Canis lupus familiaris: one gene and its partners. The protein of the gene in region 3 purifies or fractionates together with the protein of the main gene of each other region. This does not show direct contact. Links are inferred from orthologs where the notes say so. Each region holds a gene or a part of one and is shown on either strand. Other genes may lie near its edges.

Region 1 (3,744 bases), on a different chromosome or scaffold from region 3:
TTGTTATGAGCAATTCAAACAAATTAACACTATAATCACCAAATGTTTCATGTTTTGTAATTTTAAATTACTTTTTGAGGCAAAGAATATCATTCATTACTCTTTTCAAGTTTCATTGTAAGGTTAAAGTTTGTTATAAATTTTCAAGAAAAATACAAAAATTACTTTATTTCCAAAGGATTTTCCTGCTATTCCCAGACCACTTCTCAGAACTAAAACCTAAATGAGATGAAACGAATGAATTATCCAGTGACTCAACAGACCTATCTATGTATGGTAAAGAAGTTGCACGCATAAACTGTTGGCAGAGCTTGCTTTATAGCAGCTACTTCATTTTATATGTGGTTAGCTGCAGTCATGATTCAACTCTTGCCTCACAGGAGGACAGTGTCCCTCTCTGGTATCAGACTGGATTTACAGAAAATTTTAAGCTGTAAGAGATGTTAGATATCACAATATTGAAAGCTGTATCCTATTCAAATACTCTCGTAAGTGGTATGTACACAGTGAGTTTATGAATACGGTTCAAATCTATTCTCCCAAGCAGGCAAATATTTCCAGGGTCAGATTAAAATAAGGGTTTGAGATCTAATTAAATTGATGTGATTGGCAGTAATATGGGAAGGAAGGAGCACCCAGTTAGGATTTATAGGTCACTAGGTCAATGTATGAGCTGTGAGATCGGAGATGAATCATACCCTTTCTAAACTTTGTTACATTACACCAAATTCATTATATAGTAAGGGTCAGGTAAAATAATGTCTTAAAATGAAACTATCATTAATCCATAATCACTTTAGGATTACATTGATTTGATACAGATGTTCTTTAAAACTTACCAAAACTACCATCCATTGGATAATCAAGAGGTACCAGCGGTTTTCTTGGTCCAGGTAGAGTAATAGCTGAATTAAAAGCCAGGACATTTTCATGTTCTGTTTTTTTAGATTCAGCTGGCCTCTTCTGAGTCTCTTCTTCTGTTTCATCCACATGAATGGTAAATGCAGGCTGTTTACTGTTTGCTTTCCAGGGAGGAATAGTGACTTGTTCATCATTTATAGGAAGATCCTTAAGAGGTGCAACCTAAAAAGAAATGAATAGCTAGCTTTGAGCCTATTAAATGGAGTTCTGCTTGCTTTCTTCCCCTTACGGTTCTCAGTTTCTGTTTTCACTCCCAAATACTCTAAGGAAATTAAACTATCTGGGACAAAATCCAGGCAGTAAAGTTTGAATAGCTGAAGAAAGGGATGTTCAAGTTCGTTAGCGGCATTTCTACATAAGTTATAGAATCACACTAAATGCATTTATGCAAAACTAATCAAGGCCACAAGAGGAGTGGGGTAGCAGGCTGAATGATGACAAGTTTAGGAGAGCCGGCAAAGAGGTGTTGGTTCACCGCTTTGGCCCCAGGGTGGAGCAACAGAGCAAATCCGGTAAAATGGCGGAATTTAGTAAAAAAAAATTATTTTTTATACTCTTTCCTAAAGTAAAGGTAATCTTAACCAAATGGCGAGCAGGAAGGGGGTCCAGATCCTAGGGCAGTGCCTGGGGTTTAAAGCGGCGAAGAAAGCGCGGACATACGTCGTGGTGCTCGGTCTGACCCTCATATTCTATCGGAAAATATACCAAATAAAGAGCAGACAGGGAGCAAAACACACAGCGCTGGCGAAGAGAGCTATGGGAAAGATTTACGTGGCATCCCCCGCGCCAGAACACTAGGCATCAAGGGGACTGCAGACCCAGGCCTCCCTTACAACAGCTCGGAAGATGCTTTCTCGCCACGCTCCCCGGCCTGCTCAAACCTCGTGCAAAACTCCCGCTCGGCCCTCCTCGCCTGCAGATATCGTTCATCTCTTTACCCGCCGTGTCTTGGGCCTCTGCTGCGGCGCTGGGACGCGCTGGTTCCCGGCCTTCAGGACCGCCAACCCGGCCCGGGTCCGGGGCTGCTGGGCGGGCGCCGCCTTCTCGGGGTTGATGTTCTCCTGGTCCTCTTGGAGCGCCGTATGCTGCAACGTTAGCAGCGACGAGCCCGCCTCGCGGGCCTCAGGCCCAGGCTCCGAGCTGCCCAACATCACTGCTCCCCGGGTCGCGGCGGGATCAGCCTGCGGCGCCAAGCAGCGTGTACTGCGTCCCGCCGACCCCGCCGAGAAACGCTCCAGCCGCAGCCGCCCGCGGCAGTCCGGGCCAGCCTGCTCGCTCGGGATCGCGCAGCTCCGAGGACGTTGCGAAAGGCTCAGGCAGGAACTGCCGGGCGTGGAGGGCTCAAGACGCCCCCGAGATGTAGCGAGCAGCCCGCCGGAGCGGCGGCTGTTCGTGCAGTTCAAGTATCCCGCGACTATTGAAATGGGCCAATGGGAAGGGCCGATGCCCCTGACGTCACTCAAGGCGACACGGTCGCAGACAAATGAAGGAAGCCGTGAAGGCCACGGAGCGGGGGCGGAGAAACGCCGAAAGGCGGCGGGAGGGAAAACGCCTGCGCCGGCCAAAGAGGCGGGGCCTGAACTTCTAGTGACTAAACTGGGCCACTTGGTGACCCGAGGGTGCTGGGCCGCGGCTGTCTCTAGGACCGACGGAGTCAAACCCCAGCAATTGTTAGTGGCCGCGCCTGCCTAACGCTGGCCGTGGGGCCCTCAGTTGGCTGGACTGACTGGTCTCCCAAGCTCGGATCCGACCCAGCCGCGAACCGGCCTGGTAGGCGGGCCCCGTGATGACACGTCTCTGATTCTCAGTGTTCTCATCTATTAATTGGGGGTAAAATGCTACATGTCGTATGGCTGTTGTGATTATGTAATGTGCGTAAATCATTAACATGCTTGCTTACTGATCCTCGAGTGTGGACTGTACTGTCATGTATCATTTAGGGGTTTCTTCAGTCATGCTTCCGAATTCACCTCATGAAGATGTGATTAGGTAGGTGCTACCTTAACTACTGTTGATACATATATATAAACAAATAGTAATGTACTGGAAGAAACTCAACTAGACAGTCACTAATTTTGATGCTTTTCCCAGCTGTGCCAGCCAACAAAAAGCACCCAGTGAAATTTCTAGTGACATAGATACAGAATTTTGTTCCATTTGGCAATGAAGGCTGTTTAAATAAAAACAACATGACCTTTTAAAATAAAACTCTCAGTGATATGTGCCTTTAACAAGTTCTCAGATTTAATAAACAAGGCTTGCATATATTAATATAATGGTAAAGAATTAAGAGACCTTGTTTTCTGACAAATTCATGAGGATGCCCTTCTTAAAAACATGATTATATAATCTTTACGCCATTTTAAAACAATCTTCAAACACAATATTCTCCTGAGTATGAAGAAACATGAATTAACATTAGTGAATAAAACTTCTGTAGCTTTAAAGTCTTATTTCCCTCTCTACATGATAAAACAAGTCAGTGGACACTAGTGCAGGAAAATCTAAGAGGCCATCACTATTTCTGCACTATTCACATGTAGTAGCCTTGTACAGTTCTACTGGTTATAGGACAGCAAGTGAAGATCCCTTCAATCTGTGCAGCTCTGCTCATTTCCCTGGCCAAAATTTATAGCACTGAGCATACTCAAGCTCACAAACTGAGCACGGGTCACAAAACATTACCTAGCAAGAGTGAAATCAGTTGCAAATTGGGGGATCCCTGGGTGGTTCAGTGGTTTAGCGCTGCCTTCCGGCCCAGAGTGTGATCCTGGAGACCAGGGATCCAGTCGCACATCAGGCTCCCTGCATGGAGCCTGCTTC
Region 2 (3,744 bases), on a different chromosome or scaffold from region 3:
CGGGGCGCCTCCTCCGGGGCTCCCGGGCGGGCTCTGGCGCCTTGCCAGGCTCTGGAAGGCCACCTTGGGGGGGGGGGGGGAGGTCCTGGCCTGCGCAGCCCGGCTCTCCCCAAACGGGCACACCTCCAACCGGCGCCCGGGCGGTGTCGGGCTTCGGCGCACTAAGTCTTAAGGGGCGCTGCGGGGGAGGTAGAGGCAGCGGCGACCTGCGGGCCCCGGGGTGCGCCCCCGCCCCCCCGCCGCCGCCCGCGGTCCCGGGATAGAGCCGCGAGGCGCCACGTGGCTGGGGAGACGCGCTGCCTTAACCCCCAGCTCCAGCAGCGAATGCGGAGGCGGCGGCCAAGGGGACCCGGCCTGGCCACCTCGTTCCCCAGGATCCCGGGACCCAGCGCCCTGCGAGCCGCGGGCAGGGCCCTCCCGAGGTCCCCGAGGTCCCCGAGGTCCCCGAGCCCCGGCTCCCGCCCCGGAGCCCACCGGAACTGGGGCGGAGGTGCGGGGCGCGGGGGCAGAGGCTCCCGAGCCCGGGGTCCCCGTCCCGGCTCAGCTCGGCGTCCTCCGTCTGCGCGCCCCGCCTGGCCGCGGAACCCCGGCCCTGGGCTCCAGCTCCAGGCACGGCGCCAGCCCCGCGCGCCCAGCCTCCCGCGCCTCGGGCCGGGGCAAGTCCTGGAAAAGAAAAAGTTGTCCTGCCCCGCGGACCCGCCGGCCGCGTCCTCCCGCTCCCCGCGGCCGCCGCCTGCCTCGCCTCCGCGCCCCGCGCGGTCCTAGCGCCCGGCGCCGCCAGCCCGGGGACCCCGCAGGACGCGGCGGGCGGGGACCGGCTCCTGCGCGGCCTCGGCGGGGCGGCCCGAGGTCAGGGAGGGGGACGCGGAGCCGCCGCGCGCCGGGCGCTCCCCTCGGCCTCCCGGCCGGCTCCGGCCCCCTCCCCGCGCCGCCGCCCAGCCGACACCGGGGCCCCGGCGGGGCCACTGGGAGCTCTGAGAGCGAGTCCCGCGGCGGTGGCTCAGGCCGCAAGCCCGGCCCCCGGCCCCCCGGCCCCCCCGCCCCCACCGCGCGCCGCGCCTGGGCGCTCCCGGACTCCCCGGCCGCCGGCTGGAAGTGGAGCCCCGGGGCAGCCCGAGGAGGGGGCCCGGTCCCCGGCCACGTGCGTGCGGGGGCGACGGCTCGGCCCAGGGCGGGGCGCGCGCGCGTCCGGGTCGGGCCGGCGGGGCCGGGGCAGGGGGCGCCGCGCCGGGGCCCCTCCCGCCCGCGCCGCGCTGCGGCCCCGCTCGCCTCCCCCGCCGGCGGCCCGGCGCTAGGACCCAGGAGGCGCCGCCGCTCCGTCGGGCTCCGCAGGGCGCCGCCCCCGGTATAAACGCGGGCCCCGCGCGGGCCTGGCCATTCGCGACCGGAGCTGCGCGGGCGCGAGGCGGCGGGGCCCGGGGCTCGGGGGCGGCGGCGGCGGCGGCGGCGTTGGCGCCCCGCGCGGGCTGGAGGCCGCCGAGGCGCGCCATGCCGGGAGGGCTGTAGCTCCCCCATGGAGTCGGCCGACTTCTACGAGGCGGAGCCGCGGCCCCCGATGAGCAGCCACCTCCAGAGCCCCCCGCACGCGCCCAGCAGCGCCGCCTTCGGCTTCCCCCGGGGCGCGGGCTCCGCGCAGGCCCCCGCCCCACCTGCCGCCCCGGAGCCGCTGGGCGGCATCTGCGAACACGAGACGTCCATCGACATCAGCGCCTACATCGACCCGGCCGCCTTCAACGACGAGTTCCTGGCCGACCTGTTCCAGCACAGCCGGCAGCAGGAGAAGGCCAAGGCGGCCGCGGCCCCCGCGGGCGGCGGCGGCGGCGGCGGCGGCGGCGGCGGCGGCGGCGGCGACTTCGACTACGCGGGCGCCCCCGGGGGCCCCGGCGGCGCGGCGATGCCCGGCGGCGCGCACGGCCCGGCTCCCGGCTACGGCTGCGCGGCGGCCGGCTACCTGGACGGCAGGCTGGAGCCGCTGTACGAGCGCGTCGGGGCGCCGGCGCTGCGGCCGCTGGTGATCAAGCAGGAGCCGCGCGAGGACGACGAGGCGAAGCAGCTGGCGCTGGCCGGCCTCTTCCCCTACCAGCCGCCGCCGCCGCCGCCGCCGCACCCGCACCCGCACCCGCACCCGCACGCGCACGCGCCGCCCGCGCACCTGGCCGCCCCGCACCTGCAGTTCCAGATCGCGCACTGCGGCCAGACCACCATGCACCTGCAGCCCGGCCACCCCACGCCGCCGCCCACGCCCGTGCCCAGCCCTCACCCGGCGCCCGCCCTCGGCCCCGCGGGCTTGCCGGGCCCCGGCGGCGCGCTCAAGGCGCTGGCCGCCGCGCACCCCGACCTCCGCGCGGCGGGCGGCGGCGGAGGCGGAGGAGGCGGCGGAGGAGGCGGCGGAGGCGGAGGAGGCGGAGGCGGCGGCGCGGGCAAAGTCAAGAAGTCGGTGGACAAGAACAGCAACGAGTACCGGGTGCGGCGCGAGCGCAACAACATCGCCGTGCGCAAGAGCCGGGACAAGGCCAAGCAGCGCAACGTGGAGACGCAGCAGAAGGTGCTGGAGCTCACCAGTGACAATGACCGCCTGCGCAAGCGGGTGGAACAGCTGAGCCGCGAGCTGGACACGCTGCGGGGCATCTTCCGCCAGCTGCCCGAGAGCTCCCTGGTCAAGGCCATGGGCAACTGCCCGTGAGGCGCGGGGCGGCCGCCCGCTGGGACCCCGGGCGTGGATTCGTGGAGTCGGGCTCGGCTCGGGATCTCCAGGCTGCCCCCCGCGGCGCAGGCCCGGCCTGGGAGGCCCCGGCCCGCCGATTCGGTGCGCCCAGGACGGGGGTCAGGCCGGGCCTTCTCCCCGAAGGAGGGAAGCGCCGTGGGGCCGAGCCGAGCCCGAGCCCGAGCCCGAGCCTGGCAACTCTAGTATTAAGGATAACCTCGTGCCTTGGAAACGCAAACTCGCCGCTCCGATTCCTACCGAGTAGGGGGAGCCGATAGGTGCCTTGTCATTTTATTCGGAGGGTTCCTGCCGCACCCCGAGGTGCAGGCCCCCCACCCCCACCCCCACCCCCGGGGAGAGAGGGCAGCGTGCAGGCCCGCGGCTGCTCCAAGGGTCAGGATCTCTCGGCGCCCGTCCTCGGAAGGGAGGACATACAGGGACTTGGAAGGTCGTTACCCTAGTTCTACATGAAGGTGGCGGGTCCCTAGCTCCCTGCCCTCCAGTCTCCCAGCCTGTCACGGGCTGGGCTTCCCTGGGCAGAACTCACTGAGATGGGGGTCACCGGGTGACCGGCGGGAGCCCCTCCACCCCCACCCCCGGTCAGGCCAGGGCAGGCCAAAGCTATCTGGATACGTGTTCGTGGGAGTGGTAGCCTGGTGGCAGAGGGAAACCTAGAGATCTGGCCCCGGGGTGGGGGTGGGAGTGGGGCGGGGAGGTGGGGTGAAGGGACACTGGGACCATCAGCCTTGTACTGTATGTTGCCAGCATTGCCATACAAACATGAAGCACAATCTGTCCATCCCAGAGGGACCGAAGTTATGAGAAGCTTTCCAAATATTTTGCTTTATCAGCCGATATCAACACTTGTATCTGGCCTCTCTGTGTCCCAGCGGTGCCTTGTGCAATGTGAATGTGCACGTCTATGCTAAACCACCATTTTATTTGGTTTTTGTTTTGTTTTGGTTTTGCTCAGATACTTGCCAAAATGAGACTCTTTGTCAGCAGCTGCAGGGAGGGTCTGCGGCTCTCTTTCCTTTTGG
Region 3 (3,744 bases):
CCCCTAAAGGGCTAGGAAATAAGGAAAGTCAGAGGAACCTGTCTATTGTCGACCTAAGTGTCTGTGAGCAGAAGCAATTTGGGAAAGTCCAAGTTCTGGGCGGGAGCAAGGACTAAGAAAGCTCGCACCGGGGGAAAGAGGGAAGCAGAACGACCCCAAACAAGGAGTCACAGGGTTTGTGGAAGAGCACAAATCATTCTCACGCAGTGCTGAGGTCCAAGGTGGTGGTGGAGGTAACCTCCCTGCACACGCTCACTCCTGTATCTGTCCATCTGTACACAATGTGTAAAATACCCACACATACACAAACGCGCATATCATTGCCTCTCCCTGTTGCAAAGAACCTTGCAGGTTAAGTGTTTCTGTCTCTTGCTCATTGGTAATTTCTCCGCCAGAAAGCACCGTCTTATTTTAACGCTCCCTGGAAGAGGTGGAAGTTGGAAAGATGGGAGGGCATCACCTTGACACTCCTCCGGTTGGGTCACTGCATTAGTGTGCCTTCCGTCAGTCCGTTAGTGCTGGCTGTGCCCTGAGATGGGTATTGTCCCCACCGGGGGCTACGTCTTTCCAGACAGCCCCATCACTCCTTTAAAGGGCCAGCGACTGAGACACCGGAAAAAAAAAACCCGCATGCACACAGGAAGCGAGCACTCGGTAAAAATTTGTTGAATGAGCCAATGAATGAAACAAAGACACAAACGAGACCAGGTCTCCCCGCGGCAGTGAGGCCGAAAGGCTCCAGCGCCCGTCCCGCCCCCGCCTCGTCTCCAGCTCCCTGACCGCCGCGCACAGAGGGAGGCGCGGAGCGAGGAGCGAGCGCCAGAAGCGCTCAGGCGCGGCCTGCAGCTCGGCCCTGGAGCCGGGTGGCCCGGGTTGCCATGGCACCGCCCTGGACTCCACCCTCCCCCGTCTCCCCGCACCCCCGCCGGGTCTGGCAGTCGGTCACGTGCCCCGCCGCGTAGCCACACCTCTGCTCCTCCGAGCGGAGTCGGGCGGTCACGTGTGATAGCAACAGATCACGTGGCCGCCGTCGCCCCGCCTGCCCTCTCCCCTCCCCGCCCGCTTCCCGGCCGAGGCCGCTCTGGCCGCCCCTCTGCGCACGCGCGGCTCGTCACGTGGCCCGAACGTCCGGCTTTCGCCCCGCCCCGCCAGTTTCCGCGCGCCTCTTTGGCAGCTGGTCACATGGTGAGGGTGGGGGTGCGGGGGCCGCTCTAGCTTGCGGCCTGTCTATGGTCGGGCCCGGAGCGTCCAGCTGCCCCGGACAGAGCTCCTGTGTATGGCGCCGCAGGCTCTGGCTCCGGGGCCCCGATAACGGGCCGCCCCCGCAGCACCCGGCGCCGAGTGAGGTGAGCGTGGCGCCTTCCCGGGGACGGGACCGCTGTCGCCCTCGCGTCTGCCTACGCGGGCAGGTTACGGGAGGGTCGCTCGAGGGCGGGAAGTGCGGCCCGCGCAAAGTTCCTTTGTGGTCAGCTGGGATGTAATGGTAGGGACGGATGTCGAGTCTTCGATGCAGGGGGTGTGTCGTGTGCGGTCTGCCCCGTGCGGGGCGCGACGGCCCGTCCCCGAGGAAGAGGAATTCTTTCTTTGAGGGATTCACGTTTATATTTAAGGCGTGGGTTAAATAACCCCCCCTGGCGGGGTTGGGGTTAGAGCCATTGTGTCAGCTGAGGAGCCAGCCTCACGGAACTGGGGAGAGGGACGGGGTGGTGGAGGGGGGGTCTTTGTGATGCCTTGTGGGGGAGTCACCTCGTTGCGGCAGGCTCATACCACCTGAACTCTTGAGGGATTTTCGGTGGCAGGAGGCTTTTGTGATTGTAGGGTCTTCTCTGATCCGAGAATGGCTACTCCTCGGTACGAGCCAGTGGCTGAGATTGGGGTTGGTGCCTATGGAACGGTGTACAAGGCCCGTGATCCGCACAGCGGCCACTTCGTGGCCCTCAAGAGCGTTAGAGTCCCTAATGGAGGAGGTGCCGGAGGGGGCCTTCCCATCAGCACAGTTCGTGAAGTGGCATTGCTGAGGCGGCTGGAGGCTTTTGAGCATCCCAACGTTGTCCGGTGAGAAGGTGGGGGGTGGGGAGTGGGTAGTAAAGGGGAAAAGACAACTTGTAGGTGGGGATTCTGGGGAAATGGGGAAGGCCGCATCGGGTCCAGAGGGATTGATCAGTGAGTGACCACTTGTTCTGGCCAGGCTAATGGACGTCTGCGCCACTGCCCGAACCGACCGGGAGACCAAAGTGACCCTGGTGTTTGAGCACGTGGACCAAGACCTGAGAACGTACCTGGACAAGGCACCCCCACCGGGCTTGCCAGTGGAGACCATCAAGGTGAGTAGGGTGGGTGGACACTGAGGAGTAGATTGAGACCTTTGTGGCAGAACCTGCTGTGATTTCAGGTATGGTGCCTAGTTCCAGGTCCTCTGTTCTTCCCCCTTCTAAACCAGGATCTGATGCGCCAGTTTCTAAGAGGCCTAGATTTCCTTCATGCCAACTGCATCGTTCACCGAGACCTGAAGCCCGAGAACATTCTGGTGACCAGTGGTGGGACAGTCAAGCTGGCTGACTTTGGCCTGGCCAGAATCTACAGCTACCAGATGGCACTTACGCCTGTGGTCAGTAGCAAGAGGGGAGTAGGAGAGGGGTTGACCGTAGCAGTTGAGAAGTCGGGCACTTTGTGACTTTAGTCAACCAGTTATGGTTCATGGTAACCCATGGGGTCTTCATCCACTTTTCTTGTTCCTATTAGGTTGTTACACTCTGGTATCGTGCTCCAGAAGTTCTTCTGCAGTCTACGTATGCAACACCCGTGGACATGTGGAGTGTCGGCTGTATCTTCGCAGAGATGTTTCGTCGCAAGTATGGGACCCAAGCATCCTGAACTATTTTGAGTTTCCCAAACCAAATCTCTTAGTCATAGATCACATCCATTTCCTGCCCAATCTTTCACTTAAGTATTGTTGACTGTTCTGTCCCTAACCAGAAACTCTGAAATGTCCCAAAGTTAGGAACTTCACATCCCTGTATTCCCCCACACTCTCTGTTTTGAGCCATTACCTACCAGTAATTATTCCACTACTGTATCTTTGGACATGACTTCTGTGTTTTTTCCACCTTAGGCCTCTCTTCTGTGGAAACTCTGAAGCTGACCAGTTAGGCAAAATCTTTGAGTAAGTGACCAGCATGAGGGGAGAAAAAAAAAACTTTCCATTCCAAATCTTTTTTCTGCTGAGCCCCACATGGCAGTTGGCTCTGCCCCTGGAGATGTGGGCTAGAGAAAGACCCTCTTGACCAGAGCTCTCCTGTTCCCCATAGTCTGATCGGGCTGCCCCCAGAGGATGACTGGCCCCGAGATGTGTCTCTGCCCCGAGGAGCCTTTTCCCCTAGAGGGCCCCGTCCAGTACAGACAGTGGTACCTGAGATGGAGGAGTCTGGAGCACAGCTGCTGCTGGTACTGGGCGTGGGCACGGGCACAGGCTGAGGATGGGGTGGAAGACCGAGCACTAGCATTGCGGTTACTAAGACTTGGTTGGTGGATGGGCTAGTTTTTACTGGCGCCAGTGAATAGGCCATCCATAAAGAGGGATGTAGAAAATAGCCCATCCTAGGTATTGTTGGGGGTGAGCGGAAGTCTTTTTCTTTTTTTTTTTGTTTTGTCTTCATGACCTTTTGATCTTTGCCTCCCCTTCTCAGGAGATGCTGACTTTTAACCCACACAAGCGAATCTCTGCCTTCCGAGCCCTGCAGCACT

The links. Proteins that work in one complex are often made in the same cells at the same time.
Region 1: the proteins of CDK4 (region 3) and CCNA2 purify together in Homo sapiens (affinity purification with western blotting; 3 studies listed by BioGRID, with this or other methods). This does not show direct contact. The link is inferred for Canis lupus familiaris from reciprocal best matches to the Homo sapiens genes CDK4 and CCNA2.
Region 2: the proteins of CDK4 (region 3) and CEBPA purify together in Homo sapiens (affinity purification with western blotting; 3 studies listed by BioGRID, with this or other methods). This does not show direct contact. The link is inferred for Canis lupus familiaris from reciprocal best matches to the Homo sapiens genes CDK4 and CEBPA.

Annotation. Positions count from the first base shown.
Region 1 is NC_049240.1:19,143,253-19,146,996, reverse strand, and holds the start of CCNA2 (cyclin-A2), read right to left. Parts: upstream 2,358-3,744; 5' UTR 2,073-2,357; coding exon 1,860-2,072; intron 1,084-1,859; coding exon 840-1,083; intron 1-839. UniProt on the Homo sapiens protein: Cyclin which controls both the G1/S and the G2/M transition phases of the cell cycle. Functions through the formation of specific serine/threonine protein kinase holoenzyme complexes with the cyclin-dependent protein kinases CDK1 or CDK2.
Region 2 is NC_049222.1:119,691,181-119,694,924, forward strand, and holds the start of CEBPA (CCAAT/enhancer-binding protein alpha), read left to right. Parts: upstream 1-1,428; 5' UTR 1,429-1,513; coding exon 1,514-2,342; intron 2,343-2,381; coding exon 2,382-2,683; 3' UTR 2,684-3,744. UniProt on the Homo sapiens protein: Transcription factor that coordinates proliferation arrest and the differentiation of myeloid progenitors, adipocytes, hepatocytes, and cells of the lung and the placenta.
Region 3 is NC_049231.1:2,167,161-2,170,904, reverse strand, and holds the start of CDK4 (cyclin-dependent kinase 4), read left to right. Parts: upstream 1-1,145; 5' UTR 1,146-1,346; intron 1,347-1,818; 5' UTR 1,819-1,837; coding exon 1,838-2,055; intron 2,056-2,188; coding exon 2,189-2,324; intron 2,325-2,440; coding exon 2,441-2,608; intron 2,609-2,742; coding exon 2,743-2,852; intron 2,853-3,112; coding exon 3,113-3,163; intron 3,164-3,308; coding exon 3,309-3,444; intron 3,445-3,686; coding exon 3,687-3,744.